Macaca mulatta: one gene and its partners. The protein of the gene in region 3 binds, or shares a complex with, the protein of the main gene of each other region. Links are inferred from orthologs where the notes say so. Each region holds a gene or a part of one and is shown on either strand. Other genes may lie near its edges.

Region 1 (4,188 bases), on a different chromosome or scaffold from region 3:
TTCTCCTGCCTCAGCCTCCTGAGTAGCTGGGATTACAGGTGCATGCTACCATGCCTAGCTAATTTTTTTGTACTTTTTTGGTAGAAACGGGGTTTCACCATGTTGGCCAGGCTGGTCTTGAACTCCTGACCTCAAGTGATCCACCTGCCTTGGCCTCCCAAATTGCTGGGATTACAGGCATTAGCCACCATGCCCGGCCTAAAATCTCAACTTTCAAAGAGTCTGGGACTGAAAGTAAAACCATCTCTTATGCCCTTTACCCCATTCATTTTTATTTATTATTATTATTTCTTTTTTTTGAGATGGAATTTCACTCGTTGCCCAGGCTCGAGTGCAATGGTACGATCTTGGCTTACCACAACCTCCGCCTCCTGGGTTCAAGCGATTCTCCTGCCTCAGCCTCCCAAGTGGCTGGGATTATAGGCATGTGCCACCATGCCCGGCTAATTTTTTTGTATTTTTAGCAGAGACGGGGTTTCTCCATGTTGGTCAGGCTGTTCTCGAACTCCTGACCTCCGGTGATCCTACCACCTCGGCCTCCCAAAGTGCTGAGATTACAGGCATGAGCCACCGTGCCCAGCCCTATTTTTATTTTTTATATTAATTAAAAAAAAAAAATAGGCCGGGCGCGGTGGCTCAAGCCTGTAATCCCAGCACTTTGGGAGGCCGAGACGGGCGGATCACGAGGTCAGGAGATCGAGACCATCCTGGCTAACACGGTGAAACCCCGTCTCTATTAAGAAATACAAAACAAAAAACTAGCCGGGCGAGGTGGCGGGCGCCTGTAGTCCCAGCTACTCGGGAGGCTGAGGCCGGATAATGGCGTGAACCCGGGAAGCGGAGCTTGCAGTGAGCTGAGATCCGGCCACTGCACTCCAGCCTGGGTGACAGAGCGAGACTCCGTCTCAAAAAAAAAAAAAAAAAAAAAAAAAAAAAATAGAGATGGGGTCTCACTATGTTGCACAGGCTGGTCTCAAACCACCCACCAGGCCTCCCAATTTACTGGGATTGCAGGCATGAGCCTCCGCACCAGGCCACCCTTTACCTAATTACCCGTTAAGGGAAAATAAATATTTTTTAAATTAAAATTAAGAACACTCAGTGTATATACCTTGTTGAGTTCTTCTATCCTTCTTATTAGGTATGGGTTGCTGGAGGAATTCTCAAAGTAGACATAATCTGTAATTAAAGGAAGTACAGAACTTAATATTTTCAACAGAAAGTTCAGATTTGTCAATCCAAGACTTTTTATGTTAGGCAATTCACGTTTGAAATTAAGCTCATAATTCATTCACTGGTAAAAGCAAACATAATAATGCAGCCTTAATATATTCTCTCATGTGCCTACTATTCACGGACCTTTATTTTCTTGGCATTTTCATTTCAATTAATGTTTCATCAGTTTCTCCTAGACTTCTGTCCCAATATGTCATTTCTTTAATAATAAACAAAAAAGACACCTCTTATCACTGGGTAGTCGGGGCACACTAAACATGTGTCCTCTGTACTATAACTACTTCCACATCTTTTTCCTCCAATACAATTTGCCCTGGAGGCTGCTTCTCACATAAAACTATTGACCTAAGACACATTCAGAGCATGGAGAAAGGCTTCACAGTCCAACCTACATTTCAATCGCTACTTAAAAAAAAAAAAAAAAAAAAAAAAAATCAGATGAGCAGAACAGGTAAGAGGAAGAACACTAACAAACTTTTCCACAGCTCTACCTGGGAAGATGAGGGAAAAAGCGGGTCAGGGGGATCAATTATAAGAGGCAAAGTGCCCTGGGGGTGATATCACCATCTTTTTTACCCTTTTACCATATTTAATCCAGATCCATTTAATGTCTTGTGATTAAGAAATTGCTGCAGGCTTTCAACTAAAAAGATAACATTTTTCAAGTGTGGCTTTTCCTCTCATCTGATAGGCTCGCTGGAAACTTCCCACTGTGTGTTTATCTCAAAGGCAGCTGCATTGTTATTGTCTATCTTAGTGGCTCTTTCGCCGCTGTCTTCTGCAAAGTGGCCTCATTTAGCCAGGCCATTCCCACCACCATCCATCAGAAGCTCAGCTAATGAGCGGAGAAGGAAGAGCCAGTCTCTCATACAAACACGCCACTTATCTGAATTATTATTTTACCAGGAAAGAGGGAGGAGGGCGTCGTGAGTAGGGAGAAAGTTTGTTTGACCTTATTTCTCTCTTCCGCAGACTGGGAAGGAGGCAGGCAGCAGAGCAAACGTCCAGGCAGAGCTCAACTCCCCACCTCCGGCTGAGGTTCCCAGGTCCCACGAAGCCCCATTCGTGGGGGGCTGGACCAGAAACGAAAGGAGGGGGGCCGAGGAAGGCGAGGTGCAGGGCCCCGGCAAGGTGCAGGCCCGCAAACAGGCCTGTCCAGCTGGGCCCCTGGCTGGGCCCCCACCGCCCCCACCCCCACCCCAGGCTCCCACTGAGTGGGGAAGAAGCAGGGGAGGGGATGTCCCCTCATCCTCTCCAGCGCCTAGAAGCCACGCGAGAAGGCCACCTTCTCAGGGGGCTCGACGGGCCCCACCACCATGAGGGTTTCGTGGAGGGAGGTGTCTGGTAATTCGTACCCCCAAGTAGAGGCCTGGCCCTAAACACCTGGCGGGGTGCGAGGGTGAAGGTGGCCCCGGCCCCTCGCGAGCCCCCGTGGGGGGAGGGGAGGGGTGGGGTGGGGGTGGGGAGTCCTGGCCCCTCTGCGGGCCCCGGCGCCCCCGCCCCCTGCGACCTCAGCCCCGGCGCCAGTGGCTCCCGGCAGTTGGCGTGCGCTCGCCCCGGCCCCCCGGTCCCGGAGCCCGCTCCCACACGGGCCGGGTCGGGCTGAGCCTGCCTACCTCCGACCCGGTACATGTTGGCCGCCATGTCCGCCCGCCCGCCCGCGGAGCCCGAGCCGAGCCCCGCCCGCCGCCGCCGCCACCTCCTCAGCCTCAGCCTCGACCGCCGCTGCCGCCGCCGCCTCCGCTGCTGCCTCGCCACGGGGGGGAAGGGAGGGAAGGGAGGGGACAGGGGGAGGGGGAAGTGAAGGGGAGGGGACGCCGAGGGGTGGGGGCTGGTGCCCGCCCCCAGCGCCAGGCTAGCGAAGCCTAGTGGGCCGGGCCGGGGGAGGCCCGGGGAGGCCCGAGCGCTGCGGGACCAGCGGGAATTGGGGGGGAGGGGGAGGGGGAGGGGGAGGGGGAGGGGAAGGAGAGTGGGAGGGAGGGTGGGGGGCCTCGCTGGAAGTGGAGGGCCCTGGAGCCAGGGTCCTGGCCGAGGCAGAGGCCTGCGCTCAAATGCGGACCAGGGGCAGTTAGAGAATTAGAGTGGGGGCTGGGGCTCAGCCTCTCCCCAGCACCTCTTGCCCCACCCAGTGTACCCCGTCACCTGTCCACCCCGAGACAGGTCCTCCTTTCCTACCTCTGTCCCTGGGGACCCCCCCTGGGGCTGACCTGGTAGGCGAGCGCCAATCTCAATGCAAACTCTTGGACGCAAATAAGTACAGGCAGCAGGGTGCCTTCCTCGTGGTGAGATCCAAGGGGCCGGCCTGGAGCCTGCAGGCTCTAGGGCCAGGAAGACCCTGGGTGCTTCCCGCCTCGCCAGAGACCCGGCTGGGGACAGAGGTTGAAAAACTCCCTTCCTAGGCTACCCTAACTGCATCATCGTTCACCCCAAAACTGGGCTGAGCAGAACCAACTCTCCAACACCCAGATGGAGGCCCTGGCTCTAGACAGGCCCTATATATGCAGGGCCTGTTCTGCTGGGACCTTTAGGAGTGGGGGGCTTCCTTTGTCCATGGGGGAACAGGGCCCTACAGTTCACAATCACCACCCCCAAAAAGAGGAGATTCTGTTCAATCAGCTTGATATGGATGGACACTTAGCTGGTTATGTGCCTAAAGCTTCTAAATGATTATTGTCCCAAGCCAATTCTCTAAACAACCTCTGTTTTCACGGCCTTCCTACTCTCACAGAAACAAAACAAAAAAAAACCAACAACGTTGAATCTTAGCTGGCTATCCCCCAAACGAACACAAATAACTTTCTTTAGAGAAGCCAGTCCATTCCAAAGTACTCCCAGACATTGGTGCATAATAAACACGAAGAGGATTTCTTGGTGTGGTGGCTTGTTTGGAATGTCTGGTGATACACAGCTGTGTGCTGTCGACTCTGGGTTTGACATCTGTGCGGGGCTAAG
Region 2 (3,295 bases), on a different chromosome or scaffold from region 3:
AGGCTGTACACATACACCCAGAGGTGCTCGAGTGGTTCAATGGTAGAATTCTCATCTGCCAAATACACCACACAGCTAGGTGAGGAGATCCTCCTATAACCCCATCACCACCACCAAGGTGGTATACATGTTACCCTGGCTGCCAGCAACTTCCAGAATTCCTTAAGTGAAAGGGAGAGGGGAGTAAGAGGTGGGAAACAGAGGAAGAAACACCCCCATTCTCCTTTCCTATGGAGGCCACCAGTCATCCAGAAAGCTCATCTCAACTCCTGTGAAGGAATCTGGGCCAAGATGGTGCTTGGGCTCCATCACCACTGGGAGCTGGGGAGCAGTTTGGATCCCACAAGAAGGCTAGCTGGAGCAAGCCGCCTCGGTCCAGGCTGCATATCTCATAAAGCTGTTCCCAAGGCAAGAACCATCTGTACCTCCTTTGTTGTCCTTTGTCCTTTATTTTCCCTGTCAAAGACACCCCCAACACACACACAACACACACCCATGGCAAAGAACAGCTGAGCCAGGAGAAGCTGAAGAAAACAGCTTTTTATTTGTTACTATAAGAACCAATTACAGAATCCGAGGTTAAAAAAACGGACAAAAGATCTTTATTTCTGAGAACTGGCGTACAAAAGGCGGAGGGGGAGGGGAGGGAAGGAAAGAGCGAGCATGGCCTGGGGTTGATGCCAGCTTAGGGGCCTCAAACTCCAATTAGGATAGTCCGGACACCGGACAGAAAGAGAAACCCCCAATTAGGAAAAAAAAAAAAAAGACATGGCAGTGCACGCCCCCCTCCCCCAACCAGGTACCACCACCTGTTATCTGTTTACTCTTCCCCTCCCCATCCCCTTTCACAAAGGGAGGCAAAATTTTTAAAAAATTAAAAAACCCTCCCCCCAAAACTGTCCAAGACATCTGTGGGTCCTACCCCCCAAAACAGGCTAGGTTCCCACATGGGCCAAGTTCCTGCAGTCTGTCCTCCATCAGCAAGCATGGAGGCATGAGACAAGTCTCGAGGTTGTAACACCAGAGGGCGCCCAACCCCTCCAGGGACGCACACTCACTTGCTCTCTTCCTTACTCCTCACTCCCTTTGACACGAAAGGGAAGGGAGGTTTGGGTGCCCTGGGCATCCACCCTCTACCTCTCAGCCCACCTCCCTCCCCCACAGGTGCTCAATCCTCCAGGACAATAGGCTCATTAGTGCTGGCAGGATGTGAGGGTGCAGGTAGAGGGACAGGGGGCCGCACTGCCATCAGCGTTGGCTTCACCTTCAGGGGCAAGTTGGGTCGGCGAGCAGCTCGCCGCATTTCCAGATGGGTCAGAGCCTTCCGCAGGGCCCTGGCCAGAAAGAGCAAGTGAGAAACAGAAAAGGCTTAGAGAACACTAAGCCCTCCAGGTGAAGCCCCACATTCCACACTGCAATTCTGCCTTCTGGCCCATTCTTTTCTGGCATCCCCACCCTGCATCCACAACCTTCCTAGAGCTCTTGCTCTGAAACTCCTACTCCCCACACTCACAGCCTGGACTGTCCCTCTCAGCCCCTCCCATGGTAGACTCCCTACCTGGTATCCTTTGTGGCCACAAACACCACAGGATTGGGGGCATCAGCAGGGTTTAGTTTCTGACGCTTGGCGGCTGGCTGTGAGCTTGAACGAATCCCTGAAGCCAGAGGCCTTCCATTGGCAGAGAAAGGAACCCCTGCCCCTGCCATCTGGAAAAGAGGCAGGATGGCACAATGAGGGAAGGGACCCTCTCAGACTCCTATGAGAAACAAAAGCCCACCCAACTCAGCTTGGCCCACCCCTTTCTGTCAACTCACAGTCTCATAGGCCCGTTTCACCATAATGCCCCCCAGTCCCCGGTTCTGGGACAGCTGGTTTCTGTTGATCGGTGTCTTGGTACCCCGAGGTGTTTTTGGTTTCAGGGGTGCCTGGGCCACTGGAAAAAAAGTAATAGAAAACTTTCACACCTTTTCTTCCCTACACAGTTCCCCTTTGTTACTTCCATCTCTTCCCCTGGACCAGCAGTTTACCTGGGCATCCCCAAAAGTAGCAATGGGGTAAGGTTCTGGCAAGCTATCACTAGTATTTCAAATATCAGTATAACCTTATCAAATCAGTACAGTAATACTGAATAGTTTACAAAAAAAATTATTAAACAACAAAAGTACAGTTTGTTAGACTAAATCTCTGAGGACACTATGGGGAAGAAGAAAACAAGGGGAGAGAAGATGTTGGACAGGGAACGGACTGGGAGCCTGATGCCACCCTCACTGGTCCTCATCCCATACCCAGATCTTTGACGATAGTTGCCAGGGGCAGCCGCACCAGAGGGTGAATCTTCAATGGAGTCTTGGCGGCCTTAGGAAGTCGAATGGAGCCTGCAGAACAAAGATGAAAGCTTCTGAAGGGCTTCACCATTCAGGTCTCCTCTGAGGCCAGAAGCCAAGTCTAATCTTTAAAAAATTACCTGTGGCCTACTATGCCTCCTGTTATTAAACATCCAGAGAAACAATCGTCTCTGGGCAGAGCAACCCTAAACCCACCACCAGCCCCATCACTCCCTGTCCTTACACTCTGCTTTGATGGCATTGGCATTGATAGGAGCATACGGCCGTCGGGCAGCCCTCCTCGGCTGTAATAGGTCCCTGCACATGCGTCTGGCAAGACGGGTCAGTTTCGTGGTCTGAAGCAGGAAAGTTTGCCTGTTCTTAGCCAGTAGCTTGGCCCGGTTGGCGCTGGTTGTATAAGGGGAGAGACTTTGAGCTTCAGGTCTGGACAAATGACCCCTCGAGTGTGGCTCCTAGAAGAAGAGCATAGGAAAGAGAGAGAGCAGAAATCAGCATCGAGGCTCCCTTCTTTCTTCCATTCCCTGCAGAAGACAATTTATTCCTGCCTAATCTCTTTACTGACCTCTTGGCCTATATGTCTCCCCAACCAGCATCAAGCACCCCCTGCCCATCAAACCATCACCATATAAAGAGTTGGATATTCTGGCCCTCACCTAAGCTCACATCAATATGCTTACTGCTCTCCCCTGCTTTTACCCCCACTGATCCTTACCGTGGTACCCCGAGTGGCTCCCTCAAGCTGAGTTGGGGTCTTCAGTCCCCCATATTTCTTCCAGTAGATCCAACAGGAAGCACAGAGGCGGCACTGCATGTTAGGTGGGCCCCAGGCATACCACTGAGCAGACTGTGTGGCTGCAGAGCATGGAGAGGAGGGGGACAGGGAAGAAGCATGCTACCTGAGCCCCACAGATTCTTGAGCCACAGCAGGCCTTCCACCCATCCCCACCAT
Region 3 (3,197 bases):
TGCATTCCAGCCTGGGTGACAGAGCAAGACTCCGTCTCAAAAAAAAAAAAAAGAAAAACACACTATTCTTGGCTCTTGGCTCGTGGGCTGCAGTTGCCAACCAACCTACAACGCTCCTATGCTCCTAACTCCCTGACCCCTCTATGACATGTTTTCACCCTGCTGTGACATGAGCTTGGTCAGCTTGGGCTTGGCTGTTGGCCAAGGGGAGGCACTGGGTCTTCCTTGTTACTGCAAGACTGGCAGCTAGTACGCATTTGCTGACTTGAAGCAGTGCCTTTTATGGGCAACTGCAAATCACCTGTTGGACTTTGGGACCCAGCATCTTCCCAGGAATTTCCATTCGGGTAACCAGCACCCCTGCTACCAGAGAGCGGCCCTGGGACCACCCAACACTCTGGGCGAGACCAGGGTTGGGTTCTGCATCCCTTCCCCAGGCCCTCTTCAATCACATCCTCTAACCCTGCTGGTCCCAACCTAGCTTTGAGATCCGTCAACCTCTTCACAAAGGCTGCATGAACTCCAGAGCAACCCCGCTCCTGGCAGCAGCCTGTCCTCAACTGGCCCTCGTGTCACTGGGGTCATGACTTCAACTACAGCCCCCATATTTCCTACAGATTTACAACCAAAGAATGTTCCTCTCCCAGGCCAGGCATGGTGGCTCACGCCTGTAATTCCAGCACTTTGGGAGGCCGAGGTGGATAGATCATAAGGTCAAGAAATTGAGACCATCCTGGCCAACCAACATGGTAAAACCTGGTCTCTACTAAAAATACAAAAACTAGCTGGGCATAGTGGCGCACGTCTGTACTCCCAGCTACTTGGGAGGCTGAGGCGGGAGAATCGCTTGAACCCGGGAGGCGGAGGCTGCAGTGAGCCGAGATTGCGCCACTGCACTCCAGCCTGGGTGACACAGCAAGACTCCATCTCAAAAAAAAAAAAAATGTTCCCCTCCCAGGTCGCTTCTCCAGCCTTTTTAAGAACCCCAAGTCCCGGGCCAGGCACAGTGGCTCACGCCTGTAATGCCAGCACTTTGAGTGGCCAAGGCAGGCAGATCACCTGAGGTTGGGAGTGCAAGACCAGCCAGACAACATGGAGAAACCCCATCTCTACTGAAAATACAAAAAATTAGCTGGGCCTGGTGGCACATGCCTGTAATCCCAGCTACTTAGTAGGCTGAGGCAAGAGAATCGCTTGAACCCGGGTGGAGGTTGCGGTGAGCCAAGATTGCACCATTGCATTGCAGCCTGGGCAACAAGAGTAAAACTCCGTCTCCCAAAAAAAAAAAAAAAAAGCACCAGTCTCCCCTCATCTTGAATGAGTTCATGGGCTATGGCTCCGCTGCACTATCGCCTTCTAAAATAGAAATCCTGCTCTCCCTCCATTCCCTTTTTATTTCAGGAGATAGCAATCTATTTAACCTCCTTTCAAAATCAGCCGGGCAGTCACACCTTAACATGAGTTCCCTTGTGCTCTGTCATCTCCTGCCTGCCCTCCTTCTCCAGTCATTAAAGAACAAAGTGCTCTCAGCCTCCCGCCCCAGACCCACACACTTCCTTGGGTCTCGCTCCAAAGAGGTGACAGCAGAGGGCAGTGCAGACACCAAAGAACCCTGAGCCTGGCTTCCCTAGGACCAGTGTCGGCCAACAGAAGCAGACCAGGCAGGAGGCAGGAGGGAGAGTGGTGGCGGCCAGGGCGGGGGGGGGGGGGTGGGGGGTGGTTTGAACACACCCTTGAAAGCCAGCAGACCCCCTGGCAGCACACAGGGTAAGAAGAGCTCCCTGGCTGGGCTGCCCTTCCCGGAAGACCCCTCTGAAGGCATCCGGCCCCCTAGGCCCCTCGCCACCAGACCCACCGCCTGCCTGAGGCCTCCATAGCAGACAGCAACTCTGTGACAAGACAGGAGCTCCGATGAAGGAGCCCCATCCCCAGCCCACCCTCCCATGTTTTCCCCAAAAGTCTTTCCAGAGTTAAAGGCCTAGCCTGTGGTCACGGCAGGGCAGCGGGGCCGGGCTCACCGCGCTTCAGTCTCTCCATGGCACTCTTGCTCCCCGCGTACGTGGGTCTGATCTCCTTCCCCAGCTCTTCAATGATGGCCAGCAGCTCCGCGTATTTGCTTTGGGGCACTTGGCTGTTCCCAGTTCCCTAGAATCAGAAAGAAATTGGTTCAGCAAAATTAGCTGGGCATGTTGGTGGGCACCTGTAGTCCCAGTTACTCAGGAGGCTGAGGCAGGAGAACTGCTTGGACCGGACCCATGAGGCAGAGGTTGTAGTGAGCCAAGATCGCTCCACTGCACTCCAGCCTGGGCGACAGAGCAAGACTCCATCTCAACATCTCAAAAAAAAAAAAAAAAGGGGTTCAGCAGCCTGACCCCAAGGCCACAGGCAGGTGGGTGGAGAGGCCCCTGGGCCGGTCAGAGGAGGGAACGCAGTCCAGCCTTAGACTCCTGGGGTAGCCACCTCAGCTGGGCCAAGGCACGTCCCATTCTAGGGGACAACTACAGGTTAGGGGGATGGTCCTCACCCTTCTATCCTCACACACTCAGGAAGACCACCCAGTCGCCTCCAGGAAGCAAGTGTATCATCTCCAATGAACAAAACAGGGGAACCAGCTCATCTTGGCACAAAAGAGTCCAAACAGCATTTCCCAGGATGCAGATGAGTAGGAGGGCACATCGCAGGTGCCGAGCCTCCAAGCCAGTGGGGAGACAGAGGCCGCACCTGGGCCACCAGGACCACAGCCATCGGCCATGGCCCCGCCAGAGCCTGGAATGCATTCCCTTCTCTCATCCTCCCACCCACAGGGCCCACCCCCCAGAAACCCTTTCCTCCCACCACCACTGGGAGCCCCACAGCAAGCACCCGGATCAGCGAGGCTGGGCTCCCGGCAAGCCCGCAAGCCCAGACCACCTCCCCTTGGCTGCCTCCTCCCAGAGCTGCACCAGCTCCCTGGGCAAGGTCCTCGCCTCCTCCCTCCTCCACCGCCGCCTCTGTCCCCTGGCCTTGCGCTCTGTCCTCCTGTCCTCATCTTGGTCCAGCTGCTCTGCCTCCCCACGGCACTGCCTCCAGGCCTCACGGGCCTCCTGCCTGTCTCGGCGCCGCCGTCGCATGGCCAGAATGTGGCACTGCCACTCCCGGCTGCGCCTCTGCCTGGCCTCCCGCAGCCACCGCTTCTTCAGCTGGTCCCGCTCACGGGC

Evidence for each region.
Region 1: CDK2AP1 (region 3) and MTA3 share a complex: the UniProt entries of both Homo sapiens proteins name them as parts of the nucleosome remodeling and deacetylase (NuRD) repressor complex. The link is inferred for Macaca mulatta from reciprocal best matches to the Homo sapiens genes CDK2AP1 and MTA3.
Region 2: CDK2AP1 (region 3) and MTA2 share a complex: the UniProt entries of both Homo sapiens proteins name them as parts of the nucleosome remodeling and deacetylase (NuRD) repressor complex. The link is inferred for Macaca mulatta from reciprocal best matches to the Homo sapiens genes CDK2AP1 and MTA2.

Annotation. Positions count from the first base shown.
Region 1 is NC_133418.1:82,262,138-82,266,325, forward strand, and holds the start of MTA3 (metastasis-associated protein MTA3), read right to left. Parts: upstream 2,891-4,188; 5' UTR 2,881-2,890; coding exon 2,853-2,880; intron 2,529-2,852; exon of another isoform or gene 2,189-2,528; intron 1,180-2,188; coding exon 1,112-1,179; intron 1-1,111. UniProt on the Homo sapiens protein: Acts as a component of the histone deacetylase NuRD complex which participates in the remodeling of chromatin.
Region 2 is NC_133419.1:11,471,721-11,475,015, reverse strand, and holds the end of MTA2 (metastasis-associated protein MTA2), read right to left. Parts: intron 3,199-3,295; coding exon 3,059-3,198; intron 2,799-3,058; coding exon 2,570-2,798; intron 2,377-2,569; coding exon 2,287-2,376; intron 1,935-2,286; coding exon 1,816-1,934; intron 1,708-1,815; coding exon 1,559-1,707; intron 1,335-1,558; coding exon 1,169-1,334; 3' UTR 526-1,168; downstream 1-525. UniProt on the Homo sapiens protein: May function as a transcriptional coregulator. Acts as a component of the histone deacetylase NuRD complex which participates in the remodeling of chromatin.
Region 3 is NC_133416.1:130,669,590-130,672,786, forward strand, and holds part of CDK2AP1 (cyclin-dependent kinase 2-associated protein 1), read right to left. Parts: intron 2,146-3,197; coding exon 2,019-2,145; intron 1-2,018. UniProt on the Homo sapiens protein: Inhibitor of cyclin-dependent kinase CDK2. Also acts as a component of the histone deacetylase NuRD complex which participates in the remodeling of chromatin.